Macaca fascicularis: one gene and its partners. The protein of the gene in region 1 interacts with the protein of each later gene in a pairwise test. Links are inferred from orthologs where the notes say so. Each region holds a gene or a part of one and is shown in the gene's direction. Other genes may lie near its edges.

Region 1 (3,500 bases):
CCAGGAGCAGCTGCGCTATGGCAACCTGACTGAGACACGCACGCTGCTAGCCATCCAGCAGCAGGCCCTGAGGGGTGGGGCAGGAACTGGGGGCACAGGGAGCCCCCAGGCCTCCCTGGAGATCCTGGCACCAGAGGACAGTCAGGTGCTGCAGCAAGCCACCAGGCAGGAGCCCCAGGGCCAGGAGCACCAGGGCGGTGAGAACCACCTGGCAGAGAACACCCTCTACCGGCTGTGCCCACAGCCCAGCAAGGGAGAGGAGCTGCCCACCTATGAGGAGGCCAAAGCCCACTCGCAGTACTATGCGGCCCAGCAGGTGGGGCCCCGGCCACATGCAGGGGACCGAGATCCCCGTGGGGCCCCCGGAGGCAGTCGGAGGCAGGATGAGGCCCTGCGGGAGCTGAGGCACGGGCACGTGCGCTCCCTGAGTGAACGGCTCCTGCAGTTGTCCCTGGAGAGGAACGGCGCCCGGGCCCCCAGCCACATGAGCTCCTCCCACAGCTTCCCACAGCTGGCCCGCAGCCAGCAGGGCCCCCCACTGAGGGGCCCCCCTGCTGAGGGCCCAGAGTCCCGAGGACCCCCACCTCAGTACCCTCACGTTGTACTAGCTCATGAGACCACCACTGCTGTCACTGACCCTCGGTACCGTGCCCGCGGCAGCCCGCACTTCCAGCACGCTGAAGTCAGGTAACTCTCCCCACCTTGGGCTTTCCAGTTCCTGGCTTATCCTCCAGCACAGGCTGTCAGGGAGGAGAGCCTCAAGATCACAGCTTGTGTCAGAGCTGGCCAGATCCCCACCCCACCTCCAGGCTTCCTGAGAAGGGAGAGCTATTGCCTGGCAGAGAAGAGAGATGTAACTGAGGTCCCCTAAGAAGTTAGTGGCGTCCCTTGCCTTAGTTCAGAGATAGGCACCATTGTCTGCTGAGCTTGAGCATTCTAGTAACTACCGTCCCCAGAGGACACAAATCGCAACAGGCGGTTAAAGGTTAGATTTCAGAAATAACTTCCTAAAGGCAAGGTTGGGAATCATTGCCAAACTGTTTCCAAGTTAAGTAGGAAGAAGGTGGGACCTCCTTCTCTGGAGGCTTTTTAAGAAAATGTGAGCAACTTGCCTTCTATGATTATTGGGAGGCATTCCTAACTAGAAGCTGGAAAGGCCCGGTGGCCTCATTACAGACGTCTCTGCATCTTACACCAGCGCAGGAGCTTCCCTGTCTCTCCTCCCCATTTCCTGCCGTACGCTTCCTGCATCTGCAGCCTGCAGTGGGACAGGATTCTGGGTCCGGGTGGGCCTCTTTCTGGGGAGGCTCAGGAGAGGCTGCTGGGTCAGGGCAGGGACTTAGAGTTTGATTCTGAGTATGCTGGGAGGCCCTCGGGGGATGTGATTTGGTTTTCCTTTTCTAAGTGCTCTTTCTGGCTACCATGCAGAGCATGGTTTGTGAGGGGCCAAAATGGAAGCAGGAAGACTTGGGGGAGGCAAGAAGTCTAGAGAGTTTGGAGAAATGAGTGTTCCTAGAAACAAGGCCCCACCTCAGGCTTCTCATCTGGCCCGCATCTTTTCAGAGAAGCAGACACAGCCATCACTGCTGCATCTCCCCCTGTGGGAGTCCAAGAAACCCCACCAAGGGACCCCAAGGATTTCAGACTCTTCCTCTGGTGGCCCAAGGTCAAAGTCTGGTTCTCTTCATGCCTGCTGAGTTTTCCTTTAGTCACCCACTTTCCCACCGTCCGGCCTTTCCTTGCTCTCGAGAAATGTGTGACATGATGGGGTTGGTATGGCGGAACAGAGGATGGAGCCTCTTGGTTTTTCTCCAGCCTCCACCCCCTCCAGACTCGCACCTTATCGCCCTTCTCAGGGCTCGGTCAGGAAGAGTTTCGGAAGCTGAGTGGTGGTTTCTTCTTTTGGACCAGCCTTATTGAACTCTGTCAGGAAAAGATAGTAATCGTGGCAAGGAAGTAGACTGTTTGCAGGAGAACAAAAAGCGGGGGAGGGAGAGGACGGGGAGAAAGGAAAGCAAGTGTGAAGGGAAAGGAGTTGCTATTCTTTCTCAGAGCCAAGTCATCCCGAAAGAATGCCAGTTGTGTCTGCCTGGCCCAGTGCAGGGGGGAGCAAGTTCTTGAAGCAACCTTGAGAATGGCCATTTTAGCAGTGGAATGGAGAGTTTGAGTACTCCAGTGGGGACCCTCTTCCCAGCTCTTACTGGAAGCCCCATCTTAGATAGTAGGAGAAATACATCTGCCCAATATCCCCTTTCGGATGATCTGATGAAGATTATTTGTTAGGAACTTGGGGCTAGACTCCTAGCCTAGGGTCCTGAGAAGAGCAGGGGGGCCATAGGCTGTATGGGGGCAGGAGGCAGGGGCAGGCTGGGTGTGCATGAGTGCTGACATGATGCACCTAGAAGGAGAATTTGGGTTTTGTGGGGCTTCTGGGACTTGGAAGAATCTTTGTGAAACTGCGGCAGTTGTGACACTGGGAATCACAAGGTCCCAGAAAGGCTCTTGAACTCCCCGTGCCTCTCGCCCTTTGCTCCTTCCCTCAATACGGAGCCCTATGGGTGATGTTACACCAGTGCCAGAGGCCAATAGAACATTGTCCCCTGAACTCAGCAACTACAGTAGTCCAGAGGCAGCCCTTACTCCCAAGGAAACCCAGAGTTTGGGCCACATTTATTCTCTAAACTGAGGGTAAACCGAGGTTCCTACTAGAAGAGATGGAGGATGGGCCACCACTACAGGAGCACCTGCCACCCACCCAGCACCGGCCCCGCACTCTGCCAGGCCTTACATAGCATCATCCTCACAAACCCTGGCGAGGCTGGAGACCCTCATGATGCAACAGAGCAATGCCCTGTCTGTGGGGCTGAGGCACTTGCCCAAGGTTAAACAACTGGAGCAGGGATTTAAACCCCTATTTGTCAGACTCTAGAGCTCAGACTCTTACCCTGACATCTGTCTCACTGTTCTAACCTTAACTGGAGTCTTCTAAAAATGATTCTGGGTGGGTGGGGGCTGGGGGTAGCAGGACTTGAAATAGAAAGGAGAAAATGAGTGCTGCTTTGGCAGTCTTGAAACTGGCCACTCATGTAATAGACATAAGGTTGCTGCTGGGGCCCAGCCACCAAGTTGTCCTGGGCCCTGGAAGGTTATATGCTCAGTCATGATTGACATGGCCTCCAGCCCCAAAAAGAACCTTCCATTGACTAGAAGTGTCAAGGTGCATTTTTCAAGATGACATATTTAAGCATTAGTTGCTTAGGAGGCCCAGGATTGCTCAGGCTGATCTCCAAGGCCCCAGCCACTGTGAGGCGGGTATGAAACAAGCATCCTGACATTAATCCCCTCCAGCTCTGCTGTCTGACTCTTGAGAGCCTTAGGCAGAAACATTTGGAAAAGGCCTTCCCCACTGGTCCCTGCCTACCACTTGAGGGTTGAATAATTATCTGCAGCAATTTTAATAAATATTAGTTATGAATAATAACCATCTTCCCAATATGCCT
Region 2 (2,460 bases), on another chromosome or scaffold:
TTATATTTTATATACTACTTAAAATTAGCACTAATAATTGATAACATACCTGCCTCCCCTTCTGGTACTTGATTAATCAATTGATGATTTATTGTTCATTGTTTAGCTTTGTTTAGTAGTTATATTAAAAACTTAATGATTATTTAAAAGAATGTAAGAAATAAATCTTTTTATTACATTTTAGGTTTGTTATTTAAGAAATATTTTTAGTCCTTTTTTACATATGCATGGATTGATATTAATTCTTAATATTCGGACCCTTTGTTCTTCTGACAGTGTTTTATTAATATAACGGTTTTTGAACTGATCCCTTTAGCACCTGTGAAACTGGAAAAACATCTGCACAGTGCTAGATCTGAAGAGGGAAGACTGTATTATGATGGTGAATGGTATATACGTGGACAAACAATATGTATAGATAAAAAAGATGAATGTCCTACAAGGTAAAAAAGCCTTTATTATTTCAGTGTTGCTCAGTATTGTCATTTACAACATTGTTGTCAATGAAAGATTTCCTGCCTCCATAGTGTACCTATATCATTAGTTGCTTGTGGATCCTTTTTTTTCACTTGACATATGGCTTACATCATGTGTGGACTGCAGTGTTAATATGTATGAACCAGACTTCATATTAAGTTTATGAACACAAACTTTAATGCAAGGGGAAATGTTGAAATTATTTAGCCAGGTAGCTGATCCTGTTTCTTAATTCTTCTAGTAGATGAATTGTTAGGATTGTGCTATAATGACCCTTAAACCAGACTATTAGGAATTTTTGGTGGAACTAGTAATCTTTAACTTTTTTGGATGTGTTAGAGTATTTTAGATAAAAAGAATTTGTATCAATTAGAGTAGGAAATAAATGGAAAATTAATAAAACCCTTAAGATTAATAGTAATTAAAGTATAACCTAGGGCTGGGTGCTGTGGCTCACACCTGTAATCCTAGCAATTTGGGAAGACGAGGCAGGAGGATTGCATGAGGCCAGGAGTTCAAGACTAGCTTGGACAACTTGGCAAGACCCTGTTTCTACAAAAAATAAAAAAAATTAGCCAGATATGGCAGTGTGTGCTTATAGTCCTAGCTGCTTGGGCAGGAGGATCGCTTGAGCCCAAGGGTTTGAGGCTCTTGGCCTCATTTCACCACACCACTGTATTCCATGCTGGGCAACAGAGTGAGACCTTGTCTCTCTAACAATAACAACAACAATGAAGTGTAACTTGAAAACTGCCTTTTAAAAGTCCTAATAATATGTCTAGGCTTAAATAAAGTTTATAAAACTATTTATATAGCCTTCTAAGTTTTATGTGGTTGTGACCTTTTGAAAATATTAATGTTCATCATCTTTCATTCTCCAGTGATGTAGGATATAATTCTCAGAGTAGTACCTTCTGTGGTAACAAAATGTGGTTTTGTAGGTATCGGTGGTAAATAAAACAACTTGAGTTTAGTCTACAGTACACATTTTCCAAATACAGTGGTTTTAATTGTAAGATTATAATTTTGTCTTTAAATTTTTAGGACATTGTGTATAATAGCTTTTCTCATAGAAGCTCATTGAACTAACTACTAGTTTATATATGATACTCCTGGATTCTTCTATTTATTTTATTGTTTTTGAGATATTTTACCACTACTTAGCATAAGAGTTGTTTAAAAAGAGATGAGGCCAGGTAGAATAGCTCTTTCCTGTAGTAATTCCATTACTTGGGAAGGCCAAGGCAGGAGAATCACTTGAGCCATGGTGTTTGAGACCAGCCCTAGCTGGTCTTTTTGTAGAGAACCCCATCTCTATAAAATAAAAAAATTATTCGGGTGTGGTGGCAGGTACCCTTAGTCCCAACTACTCAGGCTGAGGTGAGAAGATCACTTGAGCCTGGGAGGTTGAACCCTGATTGTGGCATTTCAACTTGGGTGACAGAGAGACCCAGTCTCAAAAAAAAAAAATTCCTATTCACTCTTTAAAAAATAAATAATTAGGCCGGGTGCAGTGGCTCACACCTGTAATCCCAACACTTTGGGAAGCCGAGGAAGGTGGATCACGAGGTTGGGAGTTCAAGACCAGCCTGGCCAGTATTGTGAAACCCCATCTCTATTGAAAATACAAAAATTAGCTGGGCATGATGGCATGTGCCTGTAGTCCCAGCTACTTGGGAGGTTGAGGCAGGAGAATCACTTGAACCTGGGAGGTGGAGGTTGCAGTGAGCTGAGATTGCGCCACTGCACTCCAGTCTGGGCGACAGAATGAGACTCTGTCTCAAAATAAATAAATAAAAAATATATAATTTTAAAAAAGAATAAAATATACATCTATTTCAAGAAGTAGATCTTTTTATGTAAAGATTAGTAGTGTAAAAAAAAAACTGGTATAAAAGTACTGTAGATGGTTTGATATTGGGAATTAGAGATTAGTATTTGAAAGATTTTCTGAAGCCAGGGCTGACATGAGTTACAAGTATG
Region 3 (3,929 bases), on another chromosome or scaffold:
AGAACTTAGTTATAGATTAAAGAAGTCAATCACTTATGTCTTTAGATGATGCACACTCACTTGTAGGCATATAGCTTAGAAGGTATATATGCTCTGGAAAACTTTGTAATTTTGAGTTGGTCTGGTGGTAATTTCCAGACCTTCTCCCTGTAACCAGTTGCAGAAATAAAACCTCTCTTCCTCTCCAGGTGATCTGCATCTGGTTACTGGGGCTGGAGAAATAGCAGCCTGACCCTCAGTTTGGTCCCAGAAGTTCTTCCACCCTCCCTCGCCTGCCCTCTGTGGCCACTGTACTCACTGCTGCTGTTGCTGTTTTGGTCTATGTGAGGTTCACCTAGTGGACTGGCTGGACATTTCCAGGGGGCACCTCAGATACCTCACCAACTTGCTGGGTCTGATCCTTTAATTTAGATTCATAAATTGTGCCAAAATACGAAGTGGCTACTTTACATAGTACGTAGTCAGATGACCAAAGGACTCAGTACCCGAGGGCCCCTAACAGAAAACACAGACCACATTTCCTTTACTCTGACCCATTTCTTGGGGGTCCTTCCCATACCACTGACACCGTTCCTGTGTAGGCGGGGCTAGAGGGGAGACAAAGCCCTCGGAGTAGCTTTCGAATCAGAGGAAGTCCTGCTCTGACAGTGACGGGCAGAATTAAATTCCCAGGTTGGGGCCACCATCTTTTAGTCTGATCCCTGCAGCCCGAGTCTCCCAGAGCCCGCGGGAACTGGGCAGCGGAGAGAAGGCTGAGGGACTCCGCGGGCAGGGAGGAGAAGGGAGAAGAGCTTTTTGCTTCTTTAGGATCTGGCTGGTGTTTCATGCGCACGGCCAAGTCGCTGTGGACTTAGCAAGTGCTGGACGGACTCGTGGAGCCTCAGGGCGGGTTGGGGAAGCTGGCGAGGGTGATCCCGGCCTTCGGCTTCTGGGCGCCCTGACCTCGCTCCGGGAACCCTCGGGGCTGGGAGGCGGGCGTGGGTGTTACTGATTCCAGCCCCAGGCGCCCTCTCCGGGGCCTCAGAATGGCGCGTTTCAGGGGCGTGGCGGGCCGAGGGGCGGGATCGCAGCAAGGCCCCTCCTCTCCCCTCCCTGGGTCTCTCATAAAGTCTGAGCCCCGCTCGGCTGAGGCCTGTCTGCAGAATCCGCACCAAGAGGCACCATGCCCATGATCCTGGGGTACTGGGACATCCGCGGGGTGAGCGTGGGTCCGCTGGACGGTGGGACGAGGGCTGTGGAGAAGGGAAGTGGAGGAGGGAAGTGTGGAGCAGCTGAGGGAAGGGCTCTAGAGACCGTTCCTCTTCAGGGCGGTCGCCCTCAGAAGGGCCTGTGCCTGACGCTGTGTGTGTGTCTGGCGGTGGGGGCGGGTAGAGGAGGCGACAGGTAAGTGCAGTGTAGACTGGGGGCTCGACTGGTGCAGAGAAAGTCACCAAGTCAGGGACCCACCATCTCTGACCCGAGCTGCATGCGTGCCATCTCTCCCAGCTGGCGCACGCCATCCGCCTGCTCCTGGAATACACAGACTCAAATTACGAGGAAAAGAAGTACCGGATGGGGCACGGTAATGGCACCTTCGTGTCCGGGCCCTGCCCACTCCCGCTGAGTTGGCACCAAGCAACCCATGGTGGCCAGCTGTGGCTGCCTCTGCAGGCCTCCCCTGCTGGAGCTGCAGGCTCTCCCTTCCCTGAGTCCCGGGGAGGGAGCCCTCTGGCCTTGCAAGGCAGAATGCTGGGGCGGGATGCTGGGTCCCCTGTCTGGATAACTGGGATGGGTGTCGCTCAGGGCTTGCCTAAACCCTGGAAGCCTTAGTCGCGTGGGGTCCAGAGTCCCCACCGGGATTCTTTCTCCCTTATCCCTGGGATGTGGGGCTGAGTGGTCAGGTTCTAGATCCACCTGTCTCAGGGGTCTTGCCACTGGCTCCTTGAGAGGGTCTCGGGGAAGGAGGGCTGGGCTCTGGGGAGGTTTGTTTTCACTTCATCTTCCCCACCACAGCTCCTGACTATGACAGAAGCCAGTGGCTGAATGAAAAATTCAAGCTGGGCCTGGACTTTCCCAATGTAGGTGCAGGGGAAGGGGCGGTTTTGGGGGCAAGTGCAACGTGTCTCTGACTGCATCTCCTCTCCCAGCTTAGAGGGGTTAGGATCAGGAGTCTTCTGCCCAATTCCCTCACTCCTGGCTGTCTACACAGCCCTTCCATGATGTTCTGTGTCCAAGCTCATTCGTCCATATGACAGTATTCTTATTTCAGGCCTGCCATGAGCAGGCACAGTGAGTGCCCGGTCTCCTCTCTGCCCTTGCTTATGGGATGGGGATGCTGGGGGGCCTGGTGGCCCAACTGAGCTTCCGCGGTTTCCCATTCATCCAGCTGCCCTACTTGATTGATGGGACTCACAAGATCACCCAGAGCAACGCCATCCTGCGCTACATTGCCCGCAAGCACAACCTGTGTGAGTGTGGTTGGCTGCAGTGTGTGGGGGGAAGGTGGCCTCCTCCTTGGCTGGATTGGGGTGTGATGCTCAGAGTGAGTGTGTTTTGTGGGTGGCAGGTGGGGAGACAGAAGAGGAGAAGATTCTTGTGGACATTTTGGAGAACCAGCTTATGGACAGCCGCATGGAGATGGTCAGACTCTGCTTTGACCCAAATTTTGTGAGTCCTGCACCCCACTCCCAGTCACCCCTTTCCCTGGCTTCTGGCCCAGAGCAGAGAAGGACTCACAAAGTCAGGCCTGTAGCGGACCCTGGCCTGCTCATTGGAAACGTCTATAGCCTGGTTCTACAAAACATCCACATGAATCATCTCCTCTTCTGAAGAGTCGTGTGGACATTTTGGAGAACCAGATCATGGACAACCGGATGCAACTGGTCATGATCTGCTACAACCCAGAATTTGTGAGTCTCCCCAGTGATCTGCACCTGGCAGAGTTTGGATTTGGGGCCAGGACTCTTGCATTCCTGCACACACTGGTCTTTCCTTAAGTCCTTGGTACCACTCATCCTCCAAGTGCTTTCCCATACTATCAACAGTTATTCTCACGACTCCAATGTCAACAAAAGCAGAGGCAATTCCCAGCAATCTTAGGACACGATCCAGGCATCCCAGGATAGAAATTCAATTCCTAGATGATAAAGTTCATGTTCAGAATCTCCTTCATCGCCTCTGGCCTCTGTCATGGGTCATTTCTGTCAGCTGGTTCACGTCACTTACCTGCTCCTAGAATATATAGACTCAAGTACAAGATAGAGGAATGTAATGGCACTCTTGAATTGCATCTTCTCAATAGTTTCCAAGTGCTGTCATTGAAATGCACAGGGATCCACACATTTTCATAACAGACAGCTCAGAGCCAGTCAAAGGGTGGCTCTCCCTTCTTCCTTTCAACCTGAATTTCTCATCTCCCTGGAAACTATTCAATGTTCATTGTTTTCTTCTGCCACCGCATTAGAAGGAACTTTCTACTTCTTTCCCTGAGCTCCTGTAGTTCTTTGCATCCTTGATTCTGCCCATGTCTGGGTCCAGAGGTTGCCAGGTGCTCAGGCGCTCCTGGGGCTGACCCAGAGGCCATTGGGAGGACAGTGAGGACAGATTCAGGGACAGCATCTCATTCCTCTCTGCCTTCTGATCACTTCAGATAGGGTCTGGCACCCAGTCAGAGTCTAATAAATGCTGATGTATCCAGTTGAAGCCTGGGCACTGCCCCAGTTTTAGTTGCGGGGAAGACGGCTGCTTGCCCACGGCCAGCCTGGGCCATCCACAGCCCTGGGGAGGCCATGTCTATGCAGGGAGCTTTTGTCTGAGGGTGGTGACAGCTGTTTTCTGCCTCAGGAGAAACTGAAGCCAAAATACTTGGAGGAACTCCCTGAAAAGCTAAAGCTCTACTCACAGTTTCTGGGGAAGCGGCCATGGTTTACAGGAGACAAGGTAAAGGAGGA
Region 4 (3,956 bases), on another chromosome or scaffold:
AAAGCAACACTCTGCTCTTCAGGAAGCTGGTGGTGACAATCCTGTCGTCTCAGGTGAAATGTGGATTCCATCTGGGTAGTGAACATGCAGCTGACAGCACAAAACCGAAGCGGGGGCCACCCGGCCGTGGGAAAGGTGCGGGCAAGGGAGTGGGCACTCACCGTCTTCCCAGCATTGTCCAGGCCCAGGATCAGGATGCAGTACTCGTCCTTCTGAAACATGTACTTGTACAAGCCCGACAGCAGCGTGTACATCCTGCCCTGGGCGCCCCAACATGTGTCAGTGTGCAGCCGGAACGCAGCTCCCCGCCCCCGGGCTTCTCCACGGTGGTCAGGGGCGCCCCACGTCCAGCTGGCCGCTCAGGACCAGAGCCTGGGGGCCATTCCCGACTCTCCCTCCTCCACCGCACCCCTGCAACTCCTCCCAGGCCGGCCGCCACTCCGTCCTTCCGCTCACAGCAATGACTGCGACCTTTCCGAACCCGCAGCGGCTCCGGTCCCTCCCCTGCTCGCGGGACCACCCAGCCGGGTGTTCGCGGTGAGCTCCGCTGCGCTCCCGCCCTCCCCCGAGGTTTCGCTCCCACGCTTCACGCGCGCGGAACGGGGAACACACTCGCGGCAGCCCCGCCTGGGCCCCCGCGCCCCACCCGGGAGCAGCGAGCCGCCGGCGCGCTCCCCAGGAGCTCCCCAGGGACGCCCCATCAACCCATTTCTTAAAACGGGGACGGCCAGCGGGAAGCGGACTACAGGGCGGGTGCGCAGCGGCCCGGCTGCTCCCGGAGGCGGCGCGCGGCGGGCAGGGAACGACTCCCGCGGAGAAAGAACCCGCGTCGGGGACCCCGGCTACGGCCGCCCCATGCCGCGGCCGCCAGGTTGGAGGCTCGCCGACAAGCAGCCAAAGCTGGTTCCTGTCACACCTGCGTCCCACCTCCAGCTCTGGGCCGCCCCTCGGGCCTCGCGCCCCACCGCATAGCCTGCGGCCTACCTGCGACCGCCGCGACCTCGGAGCCGCCGCTGCTGACCCCCGCTGACCTCCGCTGACCCCGCGCTAACCCCGCGCGGCGCCTGACGGGACGAGAGCCGGCCTCAGGGAAGGAGCTGAAACGCGTCCCGGCGGCCTCCGCGCTCCGCTTCCCGGCTGCCCCCGCGCGCCAGGCACTTCCGGAAGTGGCGGCGCTCGGGAGGAAGTGCTGGTCGGCGGCGGGGACGAAAGGGGGGTGCCGGGCCGCTCTAGCCGGTGAGGCCGGCGGGCTCTCTATGGCGGCGGCTGGGAAACCGCGCGGGGGAGGTTCCCTGCCCGGGGAGAGGGGACCCCGGTTTGCGGGGACGCGGCCTTGGCCAGACTGCAGAGACGCCGGGCGCGGGGGCGGGGCCGGCCTGGAAGGCAGCGGGCGCGGCGGGTGGGCTCGGCGGAGGGCCGGGCGGCGGGGCGCCCCGCGGGGAGGGGGTCTCCGGAGTGACGCGGGACCCGGCTAGCGGCGAGCCCAGGGCGGCTCGGAAGGGAAGCGCGGAGCCTGAGCGGGGGTACCCGGTCTGCGACCTCTGCGCTGGGAGCTGTGCCTCTGAGCCGGTGTCTCCCCGAGGGACAGGGGACGTGCCCGTGCCCTCCCGCAGTCTGTGGGGCCGGTCCCGAGACGCGAGGCTCACCTGGCTTCTCTTCTCGCAGCCCTGGTCCAGCGCCTCCCTCTCTCAGCATGGACGAGGAGAGCCTGGAGTCGGCCTTGCAGACCTACCGTGCGCAGCTGCAGCAGGTGGAGCTGGCCCTGGGCGCCGGCCTGGATTCGTCTGAGCAGGCGGACCTGCGCCAGCTGCAGGGGGACCTGAAGGAGCTCATCGAGCTCACCGAGGCCAGCCTGGTGTCTGTCAGGAAGAGCAAGTTGCTGGCCGCGCTGGACGAAGAGCGCACGGGCCGGGAAGATGCTGAGTACCAGGCTTTCCGGGAGGCCATCACTGAGGCGGTGGAGGCGCCAGCAGCAGCCCCTGAGTCCGGATCAGAGACCGTTCCTAAAGCAGAGGCGGGGCCCGAATCTGCAGCAGGTGGGCAGGAGGAGGAAGAGGGAGAGGACGAGGAAGAGCTGAGTGGGACAAAGGTGAGCGCACCCTACTACAGCTCATGGGGCACTCTGGAGTATCACAACGCCATGGTGGTGGGAGCGGAAGAGGCTGAGGATGGTTCGGCGGGTGTCCGTGTGCTCTACCTGTACCCCACTCACAAGTCTCTGAAGCCGTGCCCGTTCTTCCTGGAGGGAAAGTGCCGCTTCAAGGAGAACTGCAGGTAAAACCCTTTGTTATCAGGATGCCAACCTTGGGGCGTAAGGGGCACGCACACAGGGTCGGGTCAGGGTGGCCCTCCCTTTGCTTTGCAGTTTTGTCTCAGCTTCTTGGGGCAGGCATGCTTTGTGACAGCAGTGTCTGTGTTCAGGCGTCTGCGTCTTTGTTCCGGGGTAAATCAAGAAGCATAGAAGGTGGCCGGGTGCGGTGGCCCACGCCTGTAATCCCAGCACTTTGGGAAGTCAAGGCGGGCAGATCACCTGAGGTCAGGAGTTCAGGACCACGCTGGTCAACATGGTGAAACCCTATCTCTGTTAAAAACACAAAATTCAACTGGTCGTGGTGGCGCGCACCTGTGGTCCTAGCTACTCAGGAGGCTGAGGCAGGAGAATTGGTTGAACCCAGGAGGCCAAGGTTGCAGTGAGCGGAAATGGAGCCACTGTACTCCAGCCTGAGCAACAGTGCAAGGCTTATGTGGAAGAGAATAGGTCTCCAACCTATCGTCATTGTTTTTTTGTTTGGTTGTTGTTTTAATTTTTTTTGAGACAGGGTCTTACTTTGTCAACCAGGCTGGAGTGCAGTGGCGCAGTCCTGGCTTACTGCAGCCTGGACCTCCTGGGCTCAACTGATCTCCTGCCTTAGCGCCCCTAGTAATTGGGGTACAGACTCACACTACCACATCCAGCTAATTTTTGTATTATTATTACTTGTTTATTTATTTATTTTTTGAGATGGAGTCTTGCTCTGTCGCCCAGGCTGGAGTGCAGTGGCGCAATCTCGGCTCACTGCAAGCTCTGCCTCCCGGGTTCAAACAATTCTCCTGCCTCAGCCTCCCTAGTAGCTGGGATTACAGGCACCTGCCACCATACCTGGCTAATTTTTTTGTACTTTTTAGTAGAGACGGGGTTTCACCGTGTTAGCCTGGATGGTCTCAATCTCCTGACCTTGTGATCCGCCCACCTCAGCCTCCCAAAGTGCTGGGATTACAGGCGTGAGACACAGTGCCTGCTTTTTTTTTTTTTTTTTTTGGAGATAGAGTTTCACTCTTGTTGCCCAGGCTGGAGTGCAGTGGCATAGTCTCAGCTTACTGCAACCTCCTTCTCCTGGGTTGAAGTAATTCTCTGCCTCAGTGTCCAGAGTAGCTGGAATTACAGGTGCCCACCACCACGCCCGGCTAATTTTTTGTATTTTTAGTAGAGACAGAGATTCACCATCTTGGCCAGGCTGATCTTGAACTCCTGACCTCGTGATCTACCCGCCTCAGTCTCCCAAAATGCTGGGATTACAGACGTGAGCCATCACGCCTGGCTAATTTTTGTAGTTTTAGTAGAGGTAGGGTTTTGTCATGTTGTCCAGGCTGGTTTCACGCTCCTGAGCTCAAGTGATCCACCTGCCCTGGCCTCCCAAAGTGCTGAGATCACAGGCATGAGCCACTGCGCCCGGCCCTGTTGTTAGTTTTATTCTCTAGAGTTCAACTTGAAAACTTTACTTTTTTTTTTTTTTTTTTTTGAGACAGAGTCTCGCTCTGTCACCCAGGCTGGAGTGCAATGGCTTGATCTCAGCTCACTGCAAGCTCCGCCTCCCGGGTTCACGCCATTCTCCTGCCTCAGCCTCCCGAGTAGCTGGGACTACAGGCGCCCGCCACCTCGCCCAGCTAATTTTTTTTATATTTTTAGTAGAGACGGG
Region 5 (4,274 bases), on another chromosome or scaffold:
CTCCATAGTTCCAGGGACCCCAAGAGAGGTACCCTCCCCTCCACCAAGCATTACAAACTCCAGTACCCCCTGTGAAAGAAGTGGCTTCAACAGCACTGAGGATGCAGGTGGCTGATACTAAGACATGAGCAAGGGCAACCCAACTTGGGTAAGCTGTGGGTCAGAATCCCACACTCACCAAGTGATTCTGCCCAGTATAAACTGGGCGATTAGCCGAGCAGCTCCCCCTAACACACACACACTCGCATACACACACGCACCCCTCCCCAAAAGCAGACTGTGTAGCCAGAGCCCCACCCTGAGAGCCGTGGGAAGGCCGTGGCCCCCGCTGGTAAAACTGGGCTAATGACAGCAGGGGAACCGGCGGGGCCAGGGGGGTGCTGGGGTAATTAGGGCTCAGCCTGGCGCTAGGAGATCCTGAGATGAAAGGTGCTCTGGCGTCACTGGGTTGGTTTTATGTCCATGAATGCAGGTGTGTGGTGTGTGTATGTGTGTGCTGGGGGTGGGGCTGGCATGGTGGAGACCTCTCCTTTGGGTTGGGTTAGGGGGTCCATTTGTACGCAGCCCACCGTCTTCCTTAGGTTGACTCTGGTACCATTTGGATTTTCGTGGGAGCAAACATGGGGGGAAATACCACCACCAGGGAGCTAGGAATTGAGGGGGTATGGCAGCTCTTGTCCCCTCCCCAGCGCAGGAGAGGGAGCAGATTGTTGGGGAAATGGCTGGTGACAGAGAATAGAAAGAGCCTATATGGAGAAGGGTGACGTTGGAAAGGGGAGGCAGTGGATCGGTATTGATGTTAGAAATGAGAGGGGAGGGAGGTAACGGGGAATGAGCCCCCACAAGGATTAAAAACGTAAGATGATTGAAGTTAAAAGGACATCAGGGGTCACCTGCCCAGCCTTCGCACCTGAAGCTTGAGGAAGCTCTGCCCCCGACAGCAGTGGCGATTTGTCAAGGTCACACAGTGAGTTACTGGCGGAGAAGGGACCCGAACACCCAAACAAACTCTACACCTGCAAGCATTTGGTGTTTAGACTTTCTCCCCCATGTATAAGGTGCAGGCGGCTCGTCGATACTTCCTCCTCCACCCCCACGGTGCACACCCGAAAACCCCCCAATTCTCCCGGCAAGCAAAGGCTATTTTTTAATGACATCTTTTCCAAAATATGTCACCAAGTACCCACTCCTGCGGGAGCCGCCCGGGCGGGGGAGGGCGAGTCAGAGCGGGGCGGGGCAGAAGCGGCCGAGGGGCGGCCGGGCCTCTGGCGGGGGTCCCGGGGCGCGGCAGGGGGCGGGGGGCGGGGGCGGGCGGCGGCGAGGCGGCCTGCAGGGAGCAGCCGCGAGCCGGCCGGGCGCGCCGAGCCCGAGCCCCAGCCGGAGCGGGGCGGGGGAGGGAGGAGCCAGAGCGGCCGCCGCCTCTGCCGGAGGAGCCGCGGGGCCGCCACACTCGCCCCCCGCCCCCCCCGCGCTCACTCGCACTCACACCCGGGCGCAGGAGGCGGGCGGCCCGGGCCCCACCGGCCCCCCATGGACGCCCCCAGCACGGGGCGCTGAGACCCCCGCGTCGCTGCCCAGCCCGGTCCAGCGCGCCACGCCGAGGTAAGGAGGAGGGAGCGAGGGCATTAATATGCAAATGCCTTGCGATTGATTATGCAAAGCCGCGGGGCTCCGTGGCCAGCTCCCAGGCGGGCTGGGGGCGCCCAGGGGGTACCCGCTGCCAGCCTCAGCCTTTCCCGGCACCCCAGTGACCCTGTCACGAGCCCGGGAGCGTCAACTGACGCCCTGGGGAAGGGAGGTGTTGTAGGAGGTCGGTGGGCCCCGGGGTTCGCAGGCGGAGATGGCGTCCGAGCCTCCCCCTCGAGGGCCCGCCCGGCCTCTGTCCGGCCAGTCTGCTGCGCATTCCCGGGCCGGGCCCCGTTGCCGGCCGCCGGAGCTCCCCCCGCCCGCCGCGCCGCGGTTTGTTTACGGTGCGCCGGAGGCCTGCCCCCCCCAGCCCCCACCCCTAGCCTCTGAGGCCGAGTGGCCTTTGCAAAGCTGCCTCCAGCTGCGGAGGGCAGTATGAGTGCGGTGGCGGTGGTGGGCTTGCACGGGTCCTGGGAGAGGGAAGTTCCCCCCCTCGCTTCACCCGCCTCCCAGTTGAGCATGGCTGTCTGGTTGCAACACTCCTAATTGCAAAAACGCGGCTGTTGGGGGGAATGTGTGTGTGGAGGGGGTGTACTTGATGGTGCCTAGATGATTAGGAGAGTTGCTGGCTGGGGAGGACAGGGAGAAATGGACCTGTTTGTGTACCCCACCTTGTTTCCCTCCCCTTGCAACGTGTCTCTGGTGCCCCTTCTGCATGTGGGGCCCTCCCTTGTCCAGCGTGAAAGAAAGGCCTGGGGGATGACAGGGGCAATTGAAAGAACCACCGTTCCAGGGGTGGGGGTGGGGGACACAGAAGGAAAGACAGCGAGGTGGGAGCCTGCCCCTCAGTGCTGCCTTTGGCTCCAGGAGGGGGAGGGGATGAAGGGGGCTGTTGTCCAAAATGAGGGGGGGAAGCAAAAGTGACATGCAGACACAGAGATATGTCCACACAGACAGCCACATGCACACCCAGGGACACCCAGGCGGACTCAAGGACAGGAGCTACTGGACACACCCACATGGGGACAAGGGAAGAGGCAGGCTGCTGCTGCACCGTGGAGCTCAGACGGGTGGGATATACCCACGGGAGACCAAGAGCATGGGGACCGACCCATGCACATACCCACCCACACACAGGGTCACACGGAGATGCTGTCACACACTGGGGCAAGGAGGAGTTGCTGTCACCCACACATAAAAAGTCACTGTCACATGCATGCATGCACACAGAGCAATTGCACACAGCCGCACAATTACAAAAGACCCTGTCACTCACAGGCACACACGTGCTCGCATGAGCCCAGTCACACAGACATCATTGCTTGCCGTGACAGTCGCTATCACTCAGTCAGATGCAAACACAGTTACACATCAACACATGTATACACAACTTAGCAACAAGTATTTTCCTGGACTCTTACTGTGGAACTCTGAGGTTCTGCAGGCAACAAAACCCTTGCTCCCAAGAATATTAAATTTGGCTGTATGAAAAGGTGTTCCTGCGTAATGGTGCAAAGCCTGCATTCCTAATGACATCTTCTTGGTCTCTATCGATTGAGATACCACCCTACTAGACAGTGAGCTCTTAGAGACCTGGGAGAATCACTTAAAGAGCTCTGGATGCCACCCAGAGCCTAGCACAAGGGCTGCTCTGTAAATACTTGTGAGTTGATTGACTGTGGAACCTGCAGACACAGGTGCACTCATTTGCACATGGTCCCCTGAACTAAGGTACAGAACGAGTTCATGAGGCCCAGGTCCCCACAGTTGCAGGTCCACACCAACAGTCGTGTCCACACAACCCCAGATGCACACAACTGGAGCCTGTGCAGCCAAGCACACACTTAGATGCACACAATCACAGACTTTTCCCCTTCAGCTTCCTCCTCCCTTTTTCCTCTAGGCTCAGCCACTGTGCGGGAATGGGCTTTTTTTTTTTTTTTTCTTTTTTTTCTTTCTTTCCTTTAGAGGGACAGAGAAACAAGAGCAAAGACAGTGGGTTCAGGGGGGTTCCAGAGGGCCGAGTCATGGGCTCAAAGCAGTATCCAGTGACTTCTAGAAGCTGGGATTCTCTTGACTGCTGGGGGAGGGGAGAGCTGCTCTTCTCCCTACCCTAAAAGCTCTGGGGTGTCTAACTGCCCCTGCTCTGAGTCATTTGCCTGGGCCTTTCCCGGGAACAGTCAGTCACCCCCAGCTGAGTTCCTGCATCCCACCTTGAGTCTGGCCCTTTTTCCCACCTGGACCCTTCTGTCCAAACTTGGAAGCTTTCCTTAAGAGGCCATCGGCTGGCGAGTGTCTGTATGAGTGATGTGTATTTTTGACTTGGAATTTCTCTCTAACTCTGTTTCTCTTTCTGTTGTTCTGTCTTGCAGTGTCTGATTCTCCCTCCCTCTCTCCTTTTTCCTCTGCCAGTCTGTAACTCTCTCTCGCCCTGTCGCTACCCCCCGTCTACCCCTGTCCTTGTCTCAGAGCTGGGGACTGGCAGCAATGTTCTTCATACTTTTCCAGTTGTTAATACCCAAGCTCCGCCCCTCGGCCCCCCCCCCGTGCAGCCTCTGGGGTCAGCTTGAGGTTGGGGTGGGGGGCGGGGGGCTCAGCTGGCTGCTCAGGACTTCCTGCACTTCCTTAGTGCTGCAGCTGTGGCCAGC
Region 6 (3,500 bases), on another chromosome or scaffold:
TATTTTTAGTAGAGACGGGGTTTCGCCATGTTGGCCTGGCTGGTCTCGAACTCGTAGCCTCAACTGATCTGCCCATCTTGGCTTTCCAAAGTGCTGGGATTACAAGCATGAGCCACTGTGCCCAGCTATATATATTTTTGTGTTTGACACAGGTTCTCACTGTATCACTCAGGCTGAAGTGAGTGCCTTGCTGTGGTCACGGCTCGCCACAGCCTTAACCTCCTGGACTCTAGTGATTCTCCCACCTCAGCCTCCCATGTAGCTTGGGACCACAGGCATACACCACCATGCCCAGCTAATTTTTTTATTTTTAGTAAAGACAAGGTCTAACTTTGTTGCCCAGGCTGGTCTCGAACTCCTGGGTTTAAGCAGTCCTCCTGCCTCAACCTTCCAAAATGCTGGGATTACAGGCATGAGCCACCGCACCTGGCCCCCTCATTAATTTTCTAAGGTTAAACTATTCTTGTAGTCTTGAGCTAAATTCTAATAAGTTGTGTTGGCTTAGGGGTTTTTTGTTTCGGGTTTTTTTTTTTTTGGTAGTTTTTATATCGCTGGGATAAATTTGCTCTTATGTTATTTAATATTTTTGTATTTGTGTTTGTAAGTGAAATCCACCTAAAGTTTTCCTTTGAACTGTCCAATTTGGTTATCAAGGTTATACTCATAAAATAAGTTGGTTAGTTTTCACTGTCTCTCTTTGTTCACTAGAATTGTTTATATTTGTAGGCTGGGTGCTATGACTCACGCCTGTAATCCCAGCACTTTGGGAGGCCGAGGTGGGCGGATCTTGAGGTCAGGAGATGGAAACCATCCTGGCTAACACGATGAAACTCCATCTCTACTAAAAATACAAATAATTAGCTGGGCATGGTGTAGCGCATGCCTTTAGTCCGAGCTACTCAGGAGGCTGAGGCAGGAGAATTACTTGAACCCAGGAGGCGGAGGTTGCAGTGAGCCGAGATCATACCACTGCACTCCAGCCTAGGCGACAGAGTGAGACTCCGTCTCAAAAAAAAAAAAAAAAAAAGAATTGTATTTATAACAGATTACCTACTCTTGCAGGTTTGATAACACATAAGGTAAAGGAAAAGAAGGTAGAAATAAGTAAGATTAGAATATTGAGTCATGTGGTAATATGTTATAAAGGCTGCCGTGGAAATCCCAGAGGGAACTACAAGAATGCCTGAGCAGCATTTTAGTTTTATGTTCCTGCAGAAATCATCCTTACTATGTGGTGGGCACTGTTACAAATAATTTGTTTAAGGGTATAGTTGAGGTGGGATGCCATGAATTTGTGATGGATGCAGTCTGCCTTTTTGCGGGGGACTTTTTTCTACTGTTTCACTGCCTGCCTTCCTCCACTTCATTGTACTCAAGGTAAGCCTCATTATCATCAGTGTTGGCTTTCACAAGGAGGCAGTCTCGTGACTTGGCCTTTGTAGGAAAACACTATTAGATGAATAGATGGTTGGGTAGTGGCTCTTTCTTCTCCTGCTTAGACTCTTGTCTACTATGAATAAAGGGCTCTATTTGCAAAGGCCATAATGGGATGAAGCACATTGAGAAACAGGCTACTGAAACATAGTTATTTTTCTCACCCAGGTGAGATTTCAATGGAAAAAGTGAAGGTAAAGCGTTATGTGTCCGGAAAGAGGCCAGACTATGCCCCTATGGAGTCCTCAGATGAGGAAGATGAAGAATTTCAGTTCATTAAGAAAGCCAAAGAACAAGAAGCAGAGCCTGAGGAACAGGAGGAGGATTCATCTAGTGACCCCCGGCTACGGCGTTTACAGAACCGTATTAGTGAAGATGTGGAAGAGAGGTAATGTCTGTGATTGTGTTTTACTTGAACATGAACCTCTACAGCTTAATAATAATAGCTAATACTTGAATAGTACTGCCAAGTAGCTGACATTTGCTAATTGTTGTAATCCATACAATAGCTTTATGAAATAGGTGCTATTATCCCCATTTCACAAAAGAGGAAACTAAGAGCACAAAGGGGCTAAGAAAGTTACATGACCAAAGTTACAAAGTGGCAGCTTCAGAAAACAGCAGGTTACTTCTGGCCTAAAGGACCTACTCAACTCCTTACGGGAATAGAAAACACAGACCATTCGTTGGCTGTTGAGGGGAGTCTTTTTAGCACAAAGATGTTTTATAAACTTTGGTAAATTGATTTTATACATCTGCTTATTCTAAATGCTAATAAGGGGAAATGACACTGAAGCAGGAGAAAAGACCTCATAAAGGTCTCATTGTAGAAAGTCTCCCAGTGAGGGATTTTGTATGTTATATACTGATTGAGACATTACCTTAATAGAGCAGACCAGGGGTCCTGAACTTTCACCGTTCATAATTGTCCCAGGGGTTTTTTCACAGAGCTCCTGGGCCAAAACAGTTCTGTTTATTTTAGTTAGTAAGTAGTTAGAGCCAAGTAACTTAATAAGTATTTATGTCCTAATAACTTTGCCACTTGAAAATTACAGTGCCCATGGCCGGGCGCAGTGGCTCACACCTGTAATCGTAGCACTTTGGGAGGCCGAGGCAGGTGGATCACGAGGTCAGGAGTTCAAGACCAGCCTGGCCAACTTGGTGAAACCCCATCTCAACTAAAAATACAAAAAAATTAGCCAGGCATGGCAGTGGGCACCTGTAATCCCAGCTACTTTGGGAGACTGAGGCAGAGAATTGCTTGAACTTGGCAGGCGGAGGTTGCAGTGAGCCGAGATCATGCCACTGCACTCCAGCCTGAGTGACAGAGTGAGACTCCGTCTCAAAAAAGAAAAAAGAAAAAATAAATAAAATTACAGTGCCCATGGGGAAAAAAACACTTTTATTCATTCTCACATAACCACAGTTACTAGTGGAATTTGTGTGCCTATTGGACACTGACAGCCTTGCAGACCTTGGAATCAGCACTGTCACTTTTTCATGTCTTGTTTTATATTGATATTCACACTGTACTTTTTACCACAGCAGCCACCAAAACCCAATTTCACGAAGATACGATATTCTCAAAAGGAATGTAATATGACTTAATGTTGAAACTGAATTACCTTGAGCTATTGAAAATATCCCAATGCAGGCCACGCTCGGTGGCTCACGCCTGTAATCCCAGCACTTTGGGAGGCCAAGGCAGGCGATCACCTGAGGTCAGGAGTTCAAGACTAGCCTGGCCAACATGACGAAACCCCCTCTCTAGTAAAAATACAAAAATTAGCCGGGTGTGGTGGTGCACGCCTGTAATCCCAGCTACTCAAGAGGCTGAGGCAGGGAGAATCGCTTGAACCTGGGAGGGGGAGGTTGTGGTGAGCCGAGATCACGCCATTGCTCTCCAGCCTGGGTAACAGAGTGAGATTCTGTCTCAAAAAAAAATCCCAATGCATCCCTATGAGTTTGCTGGCTTGCTGTGGTGCCTTAGGATGCCTCAACATACGTTTAGTATTTCAGGCCAAACTTGGCTATTTGCTCTGACATCCTAGTCTAGTTCCTTTAAT
Region 7 (3,500 bases), on another chromosome or scaffold:
TTTTAACTAAAGCAGGAGGATTGCTTGTGGCCAAGAGTTTGAGACCAGCCTGGGCAACACAGCAAGACTCTATCTCTACAGAATACTTAAAAATTAGCTGGGCATGGTGGCTTGTGCCTGTAGTCCCAGCTGCTCCAACTGAGGCTGAGGTGGGAGGATCAATTGAGCCCAGGAGTTCGAGACTGCAGTGAGCTATGATCATGCCACTGCCCTCCATCCTGGATGACAGAGCAATACCCAGTCTCAAAAAAAAAAAAAAAAGAGGGCATGTGCAATTATCTACACAAGACAATGAAGGCTTTTGTTCAATGAGAGCCTCTTCATGGGATAAATAGCTGTTCAATTAGATCATAATTAGAAAAGCCATTCCCCGAAAAAAGGAAGCAGATGACTTACATGCAAGGAAGAACAAGCCCAAATTCTTAGACCTTATTACCCCATCTGTGGTCAACACTGGGGCCATATAAATGAAAGAAGAAAATAAAAAATAACAAAAACAGATAACTTAGACAGACGTAGCACAGATATACCACATATAACCCTAAAGGTGAAAAACTCTTAAAAAGTAGAAAGATTACAGAGTTTTTAAAAAACTGTATCTTACCTAATAGTTTTAATTTCAGAAGTTTATTTCCTAAAGGAATTACTCAAAAGGAAAGAAAAGTAATTTTTTTAACTTTTTACAAAAACAACAGTTTTTAGCTATAGTATTTATGATAATGAGAATTTTAGGAACTGCTTAAGTGCAAGACAATAAGAGAGGTGCTAAACTGACATAGGAGCACCACAAAGGCCTCTAACAGGGTTCCCTCTAACAGGCTTTCCTCTGTAACAGGCTTCCCTCTGTAACAGGGTTTCCTCTGTAACAGGGTTCCCTCTGTAACGGGGTTTCCTCTGTAACAGGGTGTCCTCTGTAACAGGCTTCCCTCTGTAACGGGCTTCCCTCTGTAACGGGCTTCCCTCTGTGACGGGCTTCCCTCTGTGACGGGCTTCCCTCTGTGACGGGCTTCCCTCTGTGACAGGGTGTCCTCTGTAACAGGCTTCCCTCTGTGACAGGGTGTCCTCTGTAACAGGGTGTCCTCTGTAACAGGCTTCCTTCTGTAACGGGCTTCCCTCTGTAACGGGGTTTCCTCTGTGACGGGCTTCCCTCTGTGACGGGCTTCCCTCTGTGACAGGCTTCCCTCTGTAACAGGGTGTCCTCTGTAACAGGCTTCCCTCTGTAACAGGCTTCCCTCTGTAATGGGGTTTCCTCTGTGACGGGCTTCCCTCTGTGACGGGCTTCCCTCTGTGACGGGCTTCCCTCTGTGACGGGCTTCCCTCTGTGACAGGGTGTCCTCTGTAACAGGCTTCCCTCTGTGACAGGGTGTCCTCTGTAACAGGGTGTCCTCTGTAACAGGCTTCCTTCTGTAACGGGCTTCCCTCTGTAACGGGGTTTCCTCTGTGACGGGCTTCCCTCTGTGACGGGCTTCCCTCTGTGACAGGCTTCCCTCTGTAACAGGGTGTCCTCTGTAACAGGCTTCCCTCTGTAACAGGCTTCCCTCTGTAATGGGGTTTCCTCTGTGACGGGCTTCCCTCTGTGACGGGCTTCCCTCTGTGACGGGCTTCCCTCTGTGACAGGGTTCCCTCTGTGAAAGGGTTCCCTCTGTGACAGGCTTCCCTCTGTGACAGGGTTCCCTCTGTGACAGGGTTCCCTCTGTGACAGGCTTTCCTCTGTGACAGGGTTCCCTCTGTGACAGGGTTCCCTCTGTAACGGGCTTTCTCCTCTGTAACGGGCTTTCTCCTCTGTAACGGGGTTTCCTCTGTAATGGGGTTTCCTCTGTAACAGGGTTTCCTCTGTAACAAGGTTTGCTCAAGTATGGTTCCTCCCTGTCTGGTGGGACACTGAGGTGATTAAGTGGGTCAAAAAGGAGCATTTGTTTTGTATGTATTGCTACAGAGAAAGCTTTTTTTTTTTTTAATGAGTTAGTTTAAAGAAAAATATTAAGTAAACAATAGTACAGGCTGTTAGTAGATATATGAAAAACTATGAAGGCGATAGAGCAAAGACTGAGATTAAGGAAACACTAGATACCTATTAAAAATAAGCATATAGGGTGTGCGCAGTGGCTCACACCTGTAATCCCAGCACTTTGGGAGGCCAGGATGGGCGTATCATGTGAGGTCAGGAGTTCAAGACCGCCCTGGCCAACATGGTGAAATCCTATCTCTACTAAAAATACAGAAATTGGCTGGGCATGGTGTCATGTGCCTGTAATTCCAGCCACTTGGGAGGCTGAGGCACAAGAATCGGTTGAACCCGGGAGGTGGAGGTTGCAGTGAGCCGAGATTGGGCCACTGCACTCCAGCCTGGGTAACGGAGTGAGATTCTGTCTCAAAACAAAACAAAACAGAAGCATATAAACCAGACCCGTACAGCTGGCTAAGTGTAAACTGACAAAAATTAAATTTGGAATCAAAACATTTATTTTTCTTCTATAAAATTCCTTGAGGGCCTGGGAAACTGAATATTGTTAGAGATGATGTTTCCTCTGCTGTGATAATTTTACGAATTGGCATTTTCATAAAGTCACTGCCCAGTTCATATGTTGTTCGTTAGTTGTTAAATGCCTTAAGTCACTACCAAGAAAGTGAAACATTGGGCAGAATTTCAATTACTGCCATCACATGCAGCCTTCACATTGATTCCAAAGCCAGAAGAGACATGTTGTATCTCATTTATGTTTTAGCCAAAGCCTTCTCAGACACACATCATCACTTAAAGACTGTGAGATAAATTACTACCTTGGCCAGTGAACACATTACGTCCTCTGTATGGTTTTTATCAAGTAACTGCCCAGTGCTCCCATGACGCTGGTCAGGTCCCCTTGTTAGGCCAGCAAGGGCCATGGTTCCTTGATAATTAAGTGTTAACATGTTACACTCCTTTTTATGGTTACTGGTGACCTACTTTGCAGAACAATTTGTTCATTGCAGATTATGATGATGGCTTTTCAATGAAGCATACAGCCACCGCCCGTTTCCAGAGAAACCACCGCCTCATCAGTGAAATTCTTAGTGAGAGTGTGGTGCCAGACGTTCGGTCAGTTGTCACAACAGCTAGAATGCAGGTCCTCAAACGGCAGGTCCAGTCCTTAATGGTTCATCAGGTAAAGTCATAAAACTTTCAATAAAATGGACCTATACCACAAATCCCAGCTGACGTGATTCCTACACCATGCCTAAATGTACCTGTTAAATATGTCAGTCTAAACTGTTCCTGATTTGGAGAAGAGGTTTAAGGAAGTGGACCTTTCCCAAATGTTTAATAAGTTTGTCATTAAAAACTATAATATAGAACCTTGTAATGGAAGGTATATTTGTTAAGAAGTACATGTGAACTTAAGAATTTTGAGGCGTCCTATCAGTCTTTACTGCTCTACTAAATACTTTTTCCAAAGGAATTGCTCAGGCCTGAAACAGTATTCTTTAACATTTACCTATTGATCATAATCATTTCTTTG

The links.
Region 2: the proteins of AMOTL2 (region 1) and BRMS1L interact in binary tests that used the Homo sapiens proteins (3 or more experiments, as listed by UniProt). The two-hybrid records come from large-scale screens. The link is inferred for Macaca fascicularis from reciprocal best matches to the Homo sapiens genes AMOTL2 and BRMS1L.
Region 3: the proteins of AMOTL2 (region 1) and GSTM5 interact in binary tests that used the Homo sapiens proteins (3 or more experiments, as listed by UniProt). The two-hybrid records come from large-scale screens. The link is inferred for Macaca fascicularis from reciprocal best matches to the Homo sapiens genes AMOTL2 and GSTM5.
Region 4: the proteins of AMOTL2 (region 1) and ZGPAT interact in binary tests that used the Homo sapiens proteins (3 or more experiments, as listed by UniProt). The two-hybrid records come from large-scale screens. The link is inferred for Macaca fascicularis from reciprocal best matches to the Homo sapiens genes AMOTL2 and ZGPAT.
Region 5: the proteins of AMOTL2 (region 1) and THRA interact in binary tests that used the Homo sapiens proteins (3 or more experiments, as listed by UniProt). The two-hybrid records come from large-scale screens. The link is inferred for Macaca fascicularis from reciprocal best matches to the Homo sapiens genes AMOTL2 and THRA.
Region 6: the proteins of AMOTL2 (region 1) and MFAP1 interact in binary tests that used the Homo sapiens proteins (3 or more experiments, as listed by UniProt). The two-hybrid records come from large-scale screens. The link is inferred for Macaca fascicularis from reciprocal best matches to the Homo sapiens genes AMOTL2 and MFAP1.
Region 7: the proteins of AMOTL2 (region 1) and SMARCE1 interact in binary tests that used the Homo sapiens proteins (3 or more experiments, as listed by UniProt). The two-hybrid records come from large-scale screens. The link is inferred for Macaca fascicularis from reciprocal best matches to the Homo sapiens genes AMOTL2 and SMARCE1.

What each region holds. Positions count from the first base shown.
Region 1 is NC_088376.1:37,277,584-37,281,083, reverse strand, and holds part of AMOTL2 (angiomotin-like protein 2), read left to right. Parts: coding exon 1-687; intron 688-3,500. UniProt on the Homo sapiens protein: Regulates the translocation of phosphorylated SRC to peripheral cell-matrix adhesion sites. Required for proper architecture of actin filaments.
Region 2 is NC_088381.1:103,691,900-103,694,359, forward strand, and holds part of BRMS1L (breast cancer metastasis-suppressor 1-like protein), read left to right. Parts: intron 1-316; coding exon 317-443; intron 444-2,460. UniProt on the Homo sapiens protein: Involved in the histone deacetylase (HDAC1)-dependent transcriptional repression activity. When overexpressed in lung cancer cell line that lacks p53/TP53 expression, inhibits cell growth.
Region 3 is NC_088375.1:124,616,040-124,619,968, reverse strand, and holds the start of GSTM5 (glutathione S-transferase Mu 5), read left to right. Parts: upstream 1-1,129; 5' UTR 1,130-1,162; coding exon 1,163-1,198; intron 1,199-1,485; coding exon 1,486-1,561; intron 1,562-1,992; coding exon 1,993-2,057; intron 2,058-2,365; coding exon 2,366-2,447; intron 2,448-2,545; coding exon 2,546-2,646; intron 2,647-3,822; coding exon 3,823-3,918; intron 3,919-3,929. UniProt on the Homo sapiens protein: Conjugation of reduced glutathione to a wide number of exogenous and endogenous hydrophobic electrophiles.
Region 4 is NC_088384.1:119,824,018-119,827,973, forward strand, and holds the start of ZGPAT (zinc finger CCCH-type with G patch domain-containing protein), read left to right. Parts: upstream 1-1,156; 5' UTR 1,157-1,236; intron 1,237-1,665; 5' UTR 1,666-1,693; coding exon 1,694-2,274; intron 2,275-3,956. Other genes in the region: ARFRP1 (ADP-ribosylation factor-related protein 1), read right to left, coding at 162-260, 917-970. UniProt on the Homo sapiens protein: Transcription repressor that specifically binds the 5'-GGAG[GA]A[GA]A-3' consensus sequence. Represses transcription by recruiting the chromatin multiprotein complex NuRD to target promoters.
Region 5 is NC_088390.1:61,131,610-61,135,883, forward strand, and holds the start of THRA (thyroid hormone receptor alpha), read left to right. Parts: upstream 1-1,474; 5' UTR 1,475-1,602; intron 1,603-4,274.
Region 6 is NC_088381.1:20,401,585-20,405,084, reverse strand, and holds part of MFAP1 (microfibrillar-associated protein 1), read left to right. Parts: intron 1-1,602; coding exon 1,603-1,822; intron 1,823-3,500. UniProt on the Homo sapiens protein: Involved in pre-mRNA splicing as a component of the spliceosome.
Region 7 is NC_088390.1:61,716,169-61,719,668, reverse strand, and holds part of SMARCE1 (SWI/SNF-related matrix-associated actin-dependent regulator of chromatin subfamily E member 1), read left to right. Parts: intron 1-2,973; coding exon 2,974-3,146; intron 3,147-3,500. UniProt on the Homo sapiens protein: Involved in transcriptional activation and repression of select genes by chromatin remodeling (alteration of DNA-nucleosome topology).